2 linked regions of the Lepisosteus oculatus genome follow. The protein of the gene in region 2 purifies or fractionates together with the protein of the main gene of each other region. This does not show direct contact. Links are inferred from orthologs where the notes say so. Each region holds a gene or a part of one and is shown on either strand. Other genes may lie near its edges.

Region 1 (8,007 bases), on a different chromosome or scaffold from region 2:
AAAAAAACAGCACCTGCTACAGTTCTTGTGCCTATGAAGGACATATATTACCACTTCTTGGCCACTCTAAAAGAAAAAAAGAAAGTCATCAGCCTACAGCTTTTCATCTTTTCATGGCAGGATCACACAGGGGCACTAGCTGGATTTAAATGCAGAGCGATCACGAGCAATGCCCAGATAGCTCTGTGTGGTCCCCAGTCCCACTACAAGAAGAAAGTACTCAAGTGACCAAAATTAAAGGCAGGGTTATCTTACCCTCTCCAGAGGGGAACCTTTCCTCTGAACATCACGCTAGCCATCACTGCCATGAGGCATGCCTTTGAGAAATGTAATCACTTAATTAAGCCAGCAACTCCTCCCCGCCTCCACAAGCCCAGCTCCCCATCTGGGGTCAGGGTAATTGCTAAAGGCTGGGACACAGCTGTAAACCTTATTCAGAGAGAGGCGGCACGGTCAGGCCCCACAGTTCTCTCCCTCGCATCCAGGGGCTCCTGTGTGCTGTGTGCAGGGCACTGGGCAAGGGTGATACAGCCGGCAGAGCTGTCCTGGTGCTGGAACCCCTTGACAGCCATTTAACAAACACACAACCATCAGGGCACTTCCAAAGGACATCTGAAGAACAGTTAAGGCTTTGTATCTGTGGAAGCCAGTCTCCAGTCCCCCCCCCCCCAAGAACTCTGCAAAGGCCAAATTCTTTTTTATTGTAAATCAACTATACAATCATGTTAATTAGTGGAACACCTTTGAATCATCCAATTTACATGTAATAATAATAATAATAATAATAATAATAATAATAATAATAATAATAATTGCTTACACTTATATAGCGCTTTTCTGGACACTCCACTCAAAGCGCTTTACAGGTAATGGGGACTCCCCTCCACCACCACCAATGTCTCTCAGACCCTAGAGAAAATGACTATTGCAGACTCCTGAAAGGACCGTTCTAGTCCCTTCAGTGCTTGCTTAGCAGATTGGGAATGAATTCAGTAACGCATTCACAGAGCTGGCTGGAACAGACCTGCACAGAAGCTAGGAGCTCCGCATCTGTACCTCTGATGTATACTTCAGACACACACACACTTGTGAGGGCAGCCCTGTTGGAATTCTACAGTTCTTACAAGGGGCTTGACACAAAAAGTGCTTCTAGCCAGCAGGAAACACATACATTACACACACACTACATATATATATATAACTGTGCTGTTTGTGCAGTTACTTAGAACTTTAATGCAATGGGACTACAGGAATGAAGCCCCCCAATGGAATGCTCTCAGGATCAGGGTTGGACTGATCTTTCAGTGAGCATCTCATGAATTAGTCCTAACAGCTCACACTTCCATCTGTGAAGGGCTTGTGGTTTCCACGGGGAGACCCCAGTACAGTCATTCCCCTCCCCCCACTAGTGTGCCATGCAACCTGTCAGCTAGATGAAGCAGTACAGTATCTACAGGTGCCTACACTTCCAGGCAGAGCGCCAGTATTCTAGCATGGCGGGGGAACTTACATAAACGGGTTTCATTACGTGGGCACTCATGGGACCTTACAACTATGAAGCTACAAGCTGCATAAACCCCTATTAACTTAATGAGCGATGCTAGATATCGGACGGCAGTACACTGCAGAGGCTCTTTACTCATTCTGTAGCTCCATCTCTGGAGGAGTAATCGGATTTTCACAGCTCTTGCCCCCTCGGGTATCCAGTTGAAATGGAATAAGTAAATTGCCGTGGTCACAAAGGGCAACAGTTCTCGATAATTTCCCAGTGAAATGTTTAATTAAAGAAAAGGGACTTACAATTTGGACAACTGAACATCTGGAAGTGCTCCCCAAGTTACTAAACGAACCTTCGCCTGCGAGTGTGTGTTTTGCTCTTCGTGTGGCTCTGGTAAAAACAGTCTCCTCGCCCGGTCCTGCGCGAATTGGCTGTGACAGCTGAGCGACGTTTGCGTTTTAGGTTAATTGACAACCCGGAACGACGATTAATACCAATTAACGCAAACTGCAACCAAAACAAATGGCAACGTATAATACATTTTTACAAGTTCGTCTGGGTATTTCGATAGCCCTGCCTTTTCAAATGAGGGCGCATTCTGAGCCCAGCAGATTGCGTTTACGCTTTGACGCGCCACCCCGCCTCAAAGTCAAGTGAAATTGTTGGAAACTAAACTAAATAAAGGGAAAACAGCCTACTGGCGGGTTAACTCACAAAATAAGGGTTTCCTAGTTTATTGCAATAGGATATTAAAAAACGCTTTGAATTCCAAATCCGGACTGGTTGTTAGCAGTTTCCAGTTTTTCCTAACCAATTCTAAAGCAAACGTGTGAAACTTGAAATTCACAGACCAGGAATTTAGGTAAAATATACTTGCAATTATACAGCTGTGTATAAACAGTAGACGACCACGTAGATTTTTACAGATTTCAGATCTTCCCGATTTCCGAATTGCAACTATAATAAATCGATATTTTGTGTTAATTCTTTAAAAACACTGAAAAGGGTTTGAACAATCAAAAAGTTGGATTTTTCCCCGCTCACGAGTGACTTTCAGATAGGCTATGCGTACATTCACAAACTTGTTTAAGCACAATGTTATAAGCAATGAGGCGATGTCTTACTAAGCTACACAGAAATAAGTCTCTCATTAAATATAACACGTACTTGCTTAGCGGAAATATTGATAACTGCACCGTATCACCCCTCAATAATTTATTAGCAACAAAAAAACCAACAACAGCGTTTTGCTTTTTTACCTTCGAAAGTGACTTTCAGAACTGTGGAGATCCAGGAATGTGAAATGAAACTATATCCACAAGTACGAGAAAAAAAAGGTATTAAATCATTACAGAAGGGGATTTAGGCTAATTAAAAAGAAAAATCTTCTTCCTTGATGAAAAGAAGAATTTGCAACTTCTGCAAATAATCACAGAGGCTACTATTCGTCGAAATTAATTCATGGAGACCAGTATCCCAAATATGTACCCAAGAGGACCAGACCCTGAGCACCCATTCTAGCAATGAATGATTAGTGAACCTCAAACCCCACTCTATATACACCGCTCCACCGCGCTTCCCAAGATAACAGTAACACCCGGACTGGAGCCGGCTGGGACCGACGCATCCTTTATTTCAAACTCCAAAGTCCGCTAAAATTAAATATTCACCTCAAAACGAAACCGGCCTTGGCGTGCCTGTTGCAAACGTCTCCATTGATGGTTTAAATGTTTATTTGTGCGCTTTGAAACGTTTTTTTTTAATACTAAAACTAGAGGCCAACCAATTTGAAAAGCTCTGAAAAGATGCCTGAACTGGTTAATCCACCGCTTGAAGTAATTTTCCTAGCAACTCGAAAGAGGTCATTTATTGTTACAAGGCTTGCTTATTAAATCAGTCCCTGGTTCAATCTGAATTTTCTGTTGCTTTTTTCTTCCGCTGTTTAATTCAGCAAACCTGTGGCACATTCCCGTCCCCACCAGACAATGTCTTGTTCTAAAAATAATAAAAACCACACAAACTTCCTAAAATATCACAACAGCTCGTCTTGCAAGGCTAATTCTTTGTGTGCAAACTATTTATGCTCACAACGGTTTGAACATTTACCAAGAACCCCGTGTCAATGTCCCACTTCGTGGGTGGGTTGGAAATTGATTTAAACTCATCGCGCGACAGAAGAAGGACTAGCCGGGTTTTGTAGTCAACCATACTGTGAAAGTGTGCAGATGTTCGCTATTTACAAAAGGTCTGGATAATCAGCAGTTCAGTAACACTTTACCTCGGTTATTGACTAAAACACAGAGCCGTGACACAGGTCGTTCGACGTCTCACCACATAAAAAACAAAATTGATCAGTTCAGGTGTCCACTGAACCCGATAACAGCTAATAATAATAATAATAATAATAATAATAATAATAATAATAATAATAATAATAAGTCGCTCCGGCATTTTACCAAACAGAAAAAAAACAATGAAATCATTTTGTTCCGCATTAATTAAACTTCATTTCTAAATACATGTAATAATTTAAGAAAGCACTGAGAGAAGCGCATATAAGCACAGTATTTTTGTATTGTTTTTTATATTTTTTGTTAGGTATGGGGTTGAAGAGTAAACTCGTATGCGGTTATTTTTACAGTACCAAAATAATGCTATCCATACATTTTAGGAATCGCTGTTGTGACGACTAACATTTCAATTACAGTACAAACATTTTGAAAAGGTACTTCTACAAAGAAAAACTCTAAAACGTTATGAGAAAATTCAAAGCTCCTGTAGTTTTCATTCTGTATTAGTATTTGAATAAAACGCTTTACAGATACGTTTTGCAAAGGTGCATTATTCATCATTGAGCGTTTCATACAAAACGTGGATGACATTAACGACACGACACGACCCCTGCGATATTTTCACATTTTTTGATTAACCTTGACTCAGTTTAACTCATTAATTACAAGAATACTCATTCCTCACGGAATTATACAGCGAACTCGGATTTCACTCCGATGCTTTCAGCTTTTTGTCAGTTTAACTGTCAAAAAAAAGCACAGCTGGCGTATTGTGCGAAAGACTCAACAGCCATTCAGTGTACAAACAGATTTGACAATTAACGCTCGATAGAAAAGACGGAGAAGCTCAGCTCAGGGATGTCTTTCCCTTATGGGAAAACATATGCAAATCGAGGAAACCGTTTTCGGTTTTCCAGACTCTAACCTGAAGAGTCATCAATAATTACTTTGTTCCAGAAGTTATTTCTGTATTCCTTCTGCTAACACATTAACCGCCGGAAGACGTGTGACAATGAGACGAGCTACAGAGCAAATAACAGAATAATTAATAATGCATTAAAAAACGGAAATATAAACACAGTATTGAAAACACGATTTTCGGTTAAAATAAATTAGACACCAACATGTTTTCAATAAAAATACGCCAATCTCTTTCTGAGACTAACATTTTTGCAAGAAATCTTATCTACAAAACTAAAGAAAAAAACGTTTCTTCAAAGCTCTCCTATAATAATAATAATAATAATAATAATAATAATAATAATAATAATTGCTTACAATTATATAGCGCTTTTCTGGACACTCCACTCAAAGCACTTTACAGGTAATGGGGACTCCCCTCCACCACAACCAATGTGGATGATTTACCTGGATGATGAGACAGCAGCCATAGTGCACCAGAACACTCACCCCACATCAGCTATCAGTGGGGAGGAGAGCAGAGTAATGTAGCCAATTCATAGAGGGGGATTATTAGGAGGCCATGATTGGTAAGGGCCAATTGGAAATTTGGCCAGGACACTGGGGTTACACCCCTACTCTTTTCGAGAAGAGCCCTGGGATTTTTAATGACCACAGAGAGTCAGGACATCTCATCCGAAGGACGGCATTAGGTCCCACATGGACTGCAGGGTGAGCTGGCCCCACTAACACTTCCAGCAGCAACCTTAGTTTTTCCCAGGAGGTCTCTCATCCAGGTACTGACCAGGCTAACACCTGCTTAGCTTCAGTGGGTTGCCACTTGTGAGTTGCAGGGTGATATGGCTGCTGGCCATATATATACTGTAGCTGTCAGATTAATGATTGGATATGGAGTTTGTGCGAGGGCTGCCACACACAGGTTGGGCTGATTCTCCATGCCCCTGGCTTTAGCATTAAAACAAAAGAACTGGATTTTGCATAAAAGCTTTCAAGGAAGCTGTTCCAGAGGCTGCTCTCTGATGAGATCAGGTGGGTCTCACTTGCAGTATCTTTGGCCATTGTATATATACAGTAGGCAGAACCTGAGGCTTGACTGGAGGATCCAGTCTGTTGATGGTTTATCGGCCTGAGTGGGATGGAAAGGCCTGCTGACTTGCTTGTAAAGAAAATAATTCCTTTTTACAGGTAATGGGGACTCCCCTCCAGCACCACTTATGAAAGATGTAATGGAAGCAAACGTGTGCCAGTCTGCTCACCAGACACCAGCTATCAGGGGGGTGGAGAACAGAGTAATGAAGGCAATTCATAGATGGGGATTATTAGGAGGCCATGATTGGTTGAGGCCAGGGGGAAATCTGGCCAGGACACTGGTGTAACAGCCCTACTCTTTGCAAGAAACAGCCTGTGATAGAGGGATAGAGCAGAGGAGCTCCCTTTTCTCCCGTCAGTGTTGTGCCGGCTTGCTGGGTATTAACTGGCGTCAGGTGGGACCCTGGCCCTGAGAGGAGAAGGCCTGTCTCCCCAGACTCGCACAGACACAAGCCGTTTTCCAAGTGAAGGAACAACAGAGGACGCTGTCCGTGTTTGTCACAAAGCTGCCTGGAGGACCACCTGCACCTGCTTTCCCAAGTCAACAAACATTTAGGCCACAGCTTCCAGTCTGTGGTCAACTGTGGGACGTCTCCCAACAAGCTTCCAACCACCAACATTCAAACCAGTGCAGCGTGACTAGGCCTGTTCCCTAATTTCTACTGTATATGAACTCTTTTCTATTTCTTAATTCCCCCCCTGGACTGCATTACTTCCAAGAGTTTTAATCGCATAATGCTGCCAAATGTTTTTAAAAAATGAATTAATGCTTTCGGAATTAAGTCCTGCAATGGAAATGGAGCTCATCCTGCCAAATCCTGCGAGATGCTGCCTGAGGTTACTATGCACTAACACCAGGGACATCTCTCTCTCCAAATAAGGGCTATTATTATAAGTCACATTCCTAAACATATTGTCTCAGTTTTTCCATAAACCCAGTAGGTACAGTCTGCTGTGGCACTGTGAAAGACTGTCAGGACTAGACTGTGATCATGCATCTAAAACTGACAAACTAAGAAAACTGATAAAAAATAAAACAACTTTACTCTGAAGCTCAGAAGTCAGCACGGTTTGAGGGGTTTCATAAAATCCAAAGCTTTTAAGCATGGTGAAAGATAGTAATTAGTGGAATTAAATAGCTGAGATCACAGGTAGTATAGAAACCTAGAACTACGCATTGCACTGGTTCTTCAGATGAGATGTTAAACTGAGATCCTGACTGATTGTCATTAAAGATGCCAGGGTATTGTTCATAATAGTTCCACTCTGGTCTTTTACAATCTGACCTCACTAAAGTTACTCCTTAATTCAGCTGGTGAAGCAGCGTCTCATTTCACCAGGATTGCTGTCCTGTGGTGCTTCAGTGCTTTATGCAATGGATTTCGTCCTATTTCCAATTAAAGTACTTTTGATCCTTAAATATCGGAAGCTCCATATTAATGCAAACAATTATTACAGTTTAAGATGGGTACCTGGGAGTGAATAGGACAAAAGCTAAGACAGCAAGCTAACATTTTTCTTCTGTGGAATGTCTTAAGAGTTCATATGAATTCAGAAGACAGAATTAAGGAAGTACACATGAAAGAATTCTGGAAAGCTTAGTCATCATTTCTGTTTATCCGAATGTAATTGAGGAGAGCAACTGATATACCACATAGACTATCAGTTAAATCTTAAGACCACCAAAAGCAGCTGAATCTGGCGTTCGAAAAAATACATTATTCCACAATTCGTCTTGAGTGGTTTACAAAACCTTAAGAGAAGTTTATCCAGAATATAACTGTAAAAAATGAAGAAAAACTATACTGGGATTAGTAGCAAGCATTTCCACTAATTGACCTGAAGATCTGGAACTTTTATTACTATCATAGCTTATTTGGTGACCGCATTCATTTTTAACCCTCTGGCTGAAGGTTATGAGATTATTTTAGTTCCAACAGACATGTAATAAAACACAACACAGTTACATTACTGTTTTTATAAGAAATCTATTTACACTGAAAGACAACATGCAGTTTTCAAATTTGCAGGAACAAATCAAAAACATATTTCACATCTTGACATAAAAGAGGAACTACAGTATAACAGTTTTAAACTATAACATTTTAAACAGTTTGGAAATAGACAAACACTTGCACGCCTCCCCATATGAATTAAACGTTTTAATAAAACTGCATTTTGATTAAAGGAAGGCTTCTGCAGGCCAGA
Region 2 (7,295 bases):
CCTCGTCGTCTCTTTTTCGGATTTGGCGTTCAAAACTTCCCCTCCCCTCCTCCTCCGGGCGTTTTTTGGGTTGTGTTGTGGTGTTGCTCCTTCACAGATTTCGGCTCCTAGCTGCTGCAGCAGTAGTAGTTGTAGTAGTAGTGACGGGAGGAGGAGGAGGGGAGGAGGAAGAGAAAGTCTCCGAGTCGCTGGGAGAGAGAAAGGCCCTCCGGATTAACTCATGTAGCTTCCTCGGCGCAGATCAAGATGTCCCGGGCAGGGTCCTCCAGGGCTCCGTCTGCGTTTTCTACCATCTCCGGAGGCCAAGGCGAGAGATAATCTGAATTATTTCCCTTTTTGTTGTTGTTGGTGGTGGTGGGTAGGTGGGTTTGGGGAGGGTGGAAAAAAATTAAATGAAGAAGGAGGGGAGAGAGAAAGAGAGAGACGAGGTTAAAAAAAAGTCGCACCCGAACGAGGGCCAGGAGGTAATTATTCTTCACAATACAAAACCCCCGACGCCATCCCCACCCCCCCGTCCTGGAAAGGTAATACTTGTGTTGGGTTTTTTAAAAAAAAATATATATATTTTCTTTCTTCGTAAAAGGGCGCACGCCGGGTTCGGGCTCGGTTCGGGACGGGCTGGCCCTACGGGCGCCCAGGTCGGTCACACCCCACCTCCCTCCCCTCGGACCCGCCTGTACCCCCCAACTCTCTCTAACACCCCCCTCACCTCACACGAACAGCTGAGACCGGCTCAGAGAAACGGGAGCAACTTCCGATCAATGCGCATGATCACACGCACATCTGCCGGCGGGTGTTAGAAATTGATTAAAAAAAATTAAATAAAGTCGATTTCTGTGAGGGTACGACAAACCGGGCGAACGACTTAATCGTCTCCCCGGCGTGTCGTATCGGCGCGAGTGGGATGCGATACCTTCCGAGGCGCCTCCCGATATCTGTGATCGATATGAAAAAGTTGTTGTTTTTTCGTGGAGCCGCGCTTCACGCCGTGTTTTTTTTCAAAGCGGGAATGAGGGCTTCTTTTAAAAATGTTTGGGAGACCTGGCCGGTGAGGATGATCGCCTCTATCGATTGCCAAACTCAATCAAAGCGCTTGATTGAGCTGCAAGGGCTGAAACTTTGGGTGGTGGTGGTGGTGGTGGGGGGTCAACTTTGGCAATGTTTTTTATTTTTTTAAAGTAAAAAAAAAAACCCGTTTGTATTTCTTGCAGCTTTTTTTTGGGGGGGATCGATCTGCAACGGAAGTTCACAACACCGGGCCGCTACGCTAGCACATGACCAGAGAGGAAAGGTTTGGCATGCCCGGTTTCAAAAACTGCAACTTGGTCAGGGCGCCCCTCTCTTTTATTAATTACCACAACAACAACAACAACAAAAAAAACCCACTTATTACAAAAAAAATAAGTGTTTGGTTTCACTCTAGTGATGTCAGCGGCGGGCTAATGTGACTTTGTTTCTCGCATTGTGACGGTCAGCAGTCTTTCAGGGGTGGAAAAAAAAACTAGTTGTCACAGTATCGATCACTTCGCGATCTTGCGCCCTCTCTCTGTGTAATATGTTGGAATTAAAAAACAAAAAACAAAACGGGGTTCAGATATGATTATTATGATGATTATTATTAGGTTTTTTTGAATGCCACCTTACAAGAAAGCGCAGGTTGACGCCGGGGAGAGTCTTGGTTATGACGGACGCAGATGCACAGGTATCCCTTGTTATCTCACGGCGTCTGGGCCACGCCAGGGCTCAAAACGGATTTTCAATCCACTGTTCTTCCTTGGTTCCCAACACAACTGTGGAAGAAGGAGCCGCCGTGCCGCTCCTGCCGGTGCGGGGTGGCCACGCTTGTCCCGGAGCCCAAAAACACGCACAAACTGCGCGCAGGACGGCCGCCACCGGATTCAACCCGCCCGGCAGACACCGGCACCGGGGTGGGGGGTCTCCGGCCGCACAGGAGGAGGAGGAGGAGGAGGAGGGAGGGATGGCCGGCGTGGTGCAAACGGGACAGGTCGCCTCTCGTCGGTCCTCTCCAACGGCGCGATGTGCTGGGTCCCGGCGATGGCGAGGAGTCGGTGCCCCCCCCCGGCGTGCTGGAGTCCGGACCGGGCGGATGGGAGATGGGGGTGTCGCTGCTATGATTCAGGGGGTGAACTGAGCGAGCGGCGGGGCTGGGGGCATTTAAAGAAACCCGGGAGTCTCCCCTCCACGCCAGCAGAAAGGAAAGCGCACGTCCCCCCCCCGGAGTCTTTTGTGTGGTGACCCTCAAACCCCCGTCTCTCGCCGCCTGCCTGCGGGGTCGATTATATCCGTCTGCTCCCCCCCTTTTTTCTTAAAAAAAAAAAGCAATCCTTCGTCTTCTCTCCGCTCTCTAACGGTTGGGGTTCCCGTTTCGCCGATATTTCCTCGTCTCCTCTCTCTCTCTCTCCCTCCGTGTGTACGTCTGCTCGTATGTCTCCCCCCGCTCGCTCGGTGGAGGAGGAGGAGGAGGAGGATGAATATTATTTTTAATAATAATTCTTCGTCTCCGGACGCGATGCGCTTGTATTTCTCCACCACCGCCGCCGCCACCAACCCCCCCCCCCACTTCCAAAAGAATTTTTTTTTCCCTCCCGTCGCCTTTTCAGCGTCCCTCCGTTTCTAAAACGCAGAAAATGCTCCCCAGCTTCCGCTTGTCCTCCGCTCCGCGTGAAAAGAGAAAAAAAAATCCCCCCTTCTTTCCTTCCTTGGACGTCTTAAAAGCGGATTTTCTCTCCCTTCTTCTTTTTTTCTCTCTCCTCTCTCTCTCTCTCGCTCCTCTTCCTTGTCCTCGTCCCCGACTCTCCGTTTCCGCGCTGTGCCCCCCGTCTCTCGCCGTCTTCTCCGGGTCCACGCTGCCGCTGTGTCGGCTCCGGGCTGGTCGGGCGGCCGCTCTCCGGGTCGCTGTGCTCGGCGCTGTGGTCGCTCCCTCTCTCGGGTCTCTCCAGCCGCGCTCGGTCTCTCCGCGCAAACAAAATGGCGGCTTGTTGTTTCTACTCCTCCGACACGGGAGCGGAGGGGGGGGGAGGGTAAGCTAGAGAGCAGAGCGGCGATGTATTCGAAAAAGAGGAGGAGGAGGCGGGGGGGTTGTGTTCGGGAATTTCCGGAAACCCCCCGGACTCGCTCTTTTCCGGAACGGCGCTAGCGGGTGACCGACGCCAGGGGGCGCTCGAAGATCACCGTCATCATCATAATTGCTTACACTTATGCAGCGCTTTTCTGGACACTCCACTCACGCTGTACGCTGTACAGGTCGTGGGGGATCCCCTCCACCACCACCACCCTCCATCCCCCACCTGGATGATGCTCCAGTCCGCTCCCCACACACCAGCTCCCAGTGGGGAGGAGAGCAGAGTGATGGAGCCAGTTCAAGAGAGGGGAGTTATTAGGAGGCCATGATGGGTAAAGGCCAGGGGGAGATTTGGCCAGGACACCGGGGTTACACCCCTAATCTTGTCGAGAAACAATGTGGGATTTCTAACGACCACAGAGAGTCAGGACCTCGGTTTTACGTCTCATCCTAAGGTCTCCCCTCCAGGTACTGGCCAGGCTCACGCCAGCTGGGAGCTCTGTCTGCTTATTCTCCCAAAATAATAACCCCCTCCCCAACACCAGTTACCCCCTCCTGCAGCCTTCCTTGGGTCCAAACTCTGGGGAGATCTGCACCTCACTGTCTCACCATCCCACCTGCAGTTGGTACAGGCGCGATGCACTTAGAAAAAGTTCATTTGAGGAGGGGACACATCGCTCAGCAGTGGACAGACGAGTGTGGGACCGACAGCTGTTGAACACTCAGTTCAACTGCTGCTGTGAAGGCAGGGAGCATGACAGAATCACTCCATGTCTCTGTGTGTGAGTGTTCAGGGTTCAGTAAAGTCCCTGTAATGTACTGGTGCGGTACCTGGAGAATCTGGGGAGACAGGAACTATAAAAAGAGGGGGGGGTAGGGGGTTCTATCAGGGGAGAAGGGAGGGGACCCACATAGCCCCGCCTGGGCAGGGTTGAGGGGGCGTCAGTCCGGTGAGCCAAGCCCAGTGGACAAGGTCAGCTGTCCTGTGAGAGAATGATTCCTCACACTTCTACAGCACCCTTCTGGACACCCCACTCACAGCGCTGGACAGGTCATGGGGATCCCCTCCACCACCACCAATGTGCAGCCCCACCTGGATGATGCTCCAGTCTGCTCCCCACACACCAGCTCCCAGTGGGGAGGAGAGCAGAGTGATGGAGCCAGTTCAGAGAGGGGGGGTTATTAGGAGGCCATGACTGGTAAAGGCCAGGGGGAGATTTGGCCAGGACACTGGGGTGACACCCCTACTCTTTTCCAATACACCCCGGGATTTTTAATGATCGGAGTCAGCACCTTGATTTTACACATCCCCCGAAGAACAGTGCCTTTTTACAGTACGGTATCTCTGTATTAGCTGGGTATTGGAACCCAATATCAAGGTCTTTGAAAGATCGTTTCTAAACACAGACACAGCCCTCGCAGCCCGCACCCCAGAACGCAGAGCTCCGAGCATCCCACACTTTATTATTCAGGGACAGGCACACAGACCCGGAGACAGGGAGACCAGGAGAAGCCGGATCACAAGAGTCCCGGCCTCTCGGACCGGCGCAGCCGAACCGGTAACACAGAGCGGTGAGCCTCAGTCCTCACGGGTCCCCCCCCGGGATCCGAGGAACACCCTGACGTCAGAACCCCTGGGATTCGAACCCACCACCTCCCGGGTACCAGCCCGGAGCCCCGCCTGGACCGGCGCCGCAGAACTCCCGGCTCGGCTGCCCTCTGCCCTCCCTCCCCGCCCAGGAGCGGGGCGCGGAACAGCCCCTCGGGCAGCGCGTGAGCGAGGGTCCCGCGGGGGGGGCGCCGTCGAAGCTTTCGCGAAAGAACCGTTTCGCTTCGGTTCGGGCCCCGAAGAAACCTGCACCCCCTCTTTCCAACCGGGTCCCCCACCCCCCCGGGCCCGTGTAATCAACGGGGTGGGGCTGCCGGGTCCTGAGGCGGTCAGCGCCACTGACCCGATCGTCTCTGAAACGGAAGATCCGTGCGGCGCCGTGTCCACCGTCCACGACTTGACCCAGGGGAGCATACCGCGCGGGGCCGAAGCGGGGCGCGTTTAAAAAGTCTGTGTTCCTCTACCAGCTGCTCTCCTTCACCCCATCCACCCCCCCCCTGCCCCGTTAGTCCCGGTCACTGTCGGCAGGCCCTCTCGATCTCCTCCATGGTTTTGGGGGTGTTGGCGGACAGGACCAGGGGACCCTCCTCCTCCTCCCTGATGAGCACGTCATCCTCGATCCTCACGCCCATCCCTCGGAATCGCTCCGGACAGCTGCTGTCATCCTCTGGGATGTACAGACCTGGGGGAGACAGAAAGGAGACTGAGACTGAGAGAGAGAGAGGGGTTCATACAGACACACTGACTGGACACTCCAGTACATGAACACTGCACTGAGAGAGAGAGGGGTTCATACAGACACACTGACTGGACACTCCAGTACATGAACACTGCACTGAGAGAGAGAGGGGTTCATACAGACACACTGACTGGACACTCCAGTACATGAACACTGCACTGAGAGAGAGAGGGGGGTTCATACAGACACACTGACTGGACACTCCAGTACATGAACACTGCACTGAGAGAGAGAGAGAGGGGTTCATACAGACACACTGACTGGACACTCCAGTACATGAACACTGCACTGAGAGAGAGAGGGGTTCATACAGACACACTGACTGGACACTCCAGTACATGAACACTGCACTGAGAGAGAGAGGGGTTCATACAGACACACTGACTGGACACTCCAGTACATGAACACTGCACTGAGAGAGAGAGGGGTTCACACAGACACACTGACTGGACACTCCAGCACATTAACACTGCACTGAGTCTCGTACCCAGTTCGATGGTGATGGCCATGCCAGGGCGGAGCGGTTGTGCCCGGGACAGGTCAGGCGTGTCGTGGACGTCCATGCCCAGGTAGTGCCCCACGTGGTGAGGGCAGTAGCGCCTGGCTGCCTGCAGGGGGCAGAAGAGAGAGAGAGCACGCCGCCGTGTCAGAGAGGCAGTGGGACACGGGCCGTCTCCCCCAGCGGAGGAGAGGACTACAAACCCGCTGTCCCGAGCTGGGCGCTGGCACAGAAACAGCTGCCCGCAACACACCTCCTCCGAGCAGCAAAACAGAAACTCGACACATCGGTAGCTGCCACAGTGAACATCCGAACATCAGGGGAGCAGAAATAAGACACAGCAGTAAGTGTTGTCCAGGGGCCTGCGTCTGGCTGCCTGTCCAGCTGGCATAGGGGCCAGACTGGCTGCCCAGACTCCCCTGGTTTGCTAGCCGTCTTGTGCATCGCGCTAAAAAGCTGACAAAGTAAATAATCATCTCTAGACACAAGGACGCTGTACGTGGTGTTGAAGACCAGATTAAACAAAAAGCACGATTAAAAGTAAACGGGGAAAAAAAAACGACACCGGAACACGCAGGGCAAGCCGACGAGGGCCCTGCTAGAAAGGGGAGTTTCGAGTGGAGATCTGAAGAGAGGCAGAGACTGTCTCTCGTGGGGTCGGGGGGGAGGGCTGTCCGTCCCGCTGGAGCAGCGACTGACCGGGCTCGGCCACCGCTAGGCCTGGGCGCAGCGAGGAGAGGGCCAGCCTCCGCTGCCCGGAGCCTACAGGAGCAGTTCAGACAAGCGACTCAGAGCCCCAGGGGTCAGGGACAGGACCTTGTCGCGCCTGCCGGGCTTTGACGACCCCAGTGCGGGGGGCGGGGGGAGGCGCTGGCCAGGCCTGGAGTGAGGAAGAAGTGGAGGTGCAGCTGACAGAGGAGGGTGCTGGGGAGCCCACACAGGGGAGAGCTGTGGAAATCGGCCTCATGTTCCAGTATAAATGCACCAATCAGGCACTGGGCATCGGACACGGAGAGAAACTGCCTGATGCCGGCAATATCTCTATAGGGTCCGAAAAAGACTTCTCAATCAAAGTCTTCTCAGGGCTCAAGAGACAGGGGGGGATCGAGTGAGACTCCCGACGACGGATGGGGGAGCAGTCAATATGCCACGGTCCAGCGGGGGGCGCTGTAGTCACCCGCTGTGTGTTACGGCGACGGTGCACTCTGACGCAGTGTCCAGAAAGGAGCCGACGCTTAACCGCGCAAGCGTGTCGGCGTGACAATCCCCACTGAAGTACCGCGGCCGGCCAGCGGGGGGCGCTGTAGTTACCCGGTGCGTGTCGGCGTCGCCGGCCCTGGAGCTGACGATACCCAGGTCCTTCAGC

Evidence for each region. The genes of interacting proteins can lie anywhere in the genome.
Region 1: the proteins of ep300a (region 2) and cited1 purify together in Homo sapiens (affinity purification with western blotting; 3 studies listed by BioGRID and IntAct, with this or other methods). This does not show direct contact. The link is inferred for Lepisosteus oculatus from reciprocal best matches to the Homo sapiens genes EP300 and CITED1.

What each region holds. Positions count from the first base shown.
Region 1 is NC_090703.1:40,622,536-40,630,542, forward strand, and holds the start of cited1 (cbp/p300-interacting transactivator 1), read right to left. Parts: upstream 3,007-8,007; 5' UTR 2,758-3,006; intron 2,389-2,757; exon of another isoform or gene 1,801-2,388; intron 1,541-1,800; coding exon of another isoform or gene 1,493-1,540; intron 1-1,492. Other genes in the region: rps4x (small ribosomal subunit protein eS4), read right to left, coding at 1,493-1,540. UniProt on the Homo sapiens protein: Transcriptional coactivator of the p300/CBP-mediated transcription complex. Enhances SMAD-mediated transcription by strengthening the functional link between the DNA-binding SMAD transcription factors and the p300/CBP transcription coactivator complex.
Region 2 is NC_090707.1:38,059,139-38,066,433, forward strand, and holds the start of ep300a (histone acetyltransferase p300), read right to left. Parts: upstream 3,019-7,295; 5' UTR 1,645-3,018; intron 333-1,644; 5' UTR 1-332. Other genes in the region: xpnpep3 (xaa-Pro aminopeptidase 3), read right to left, coding at 5,207-5,373, 5,918-6,038, 7,241-7,295. UniProt on the Homo sapiens protein: Functions as a histone acetyltransferase and regulates transcription via chromatin remodeling. Acetylates all four core histones in nucleosomes. Histone acetylation gives an epigenetic tag for transcriptional activation.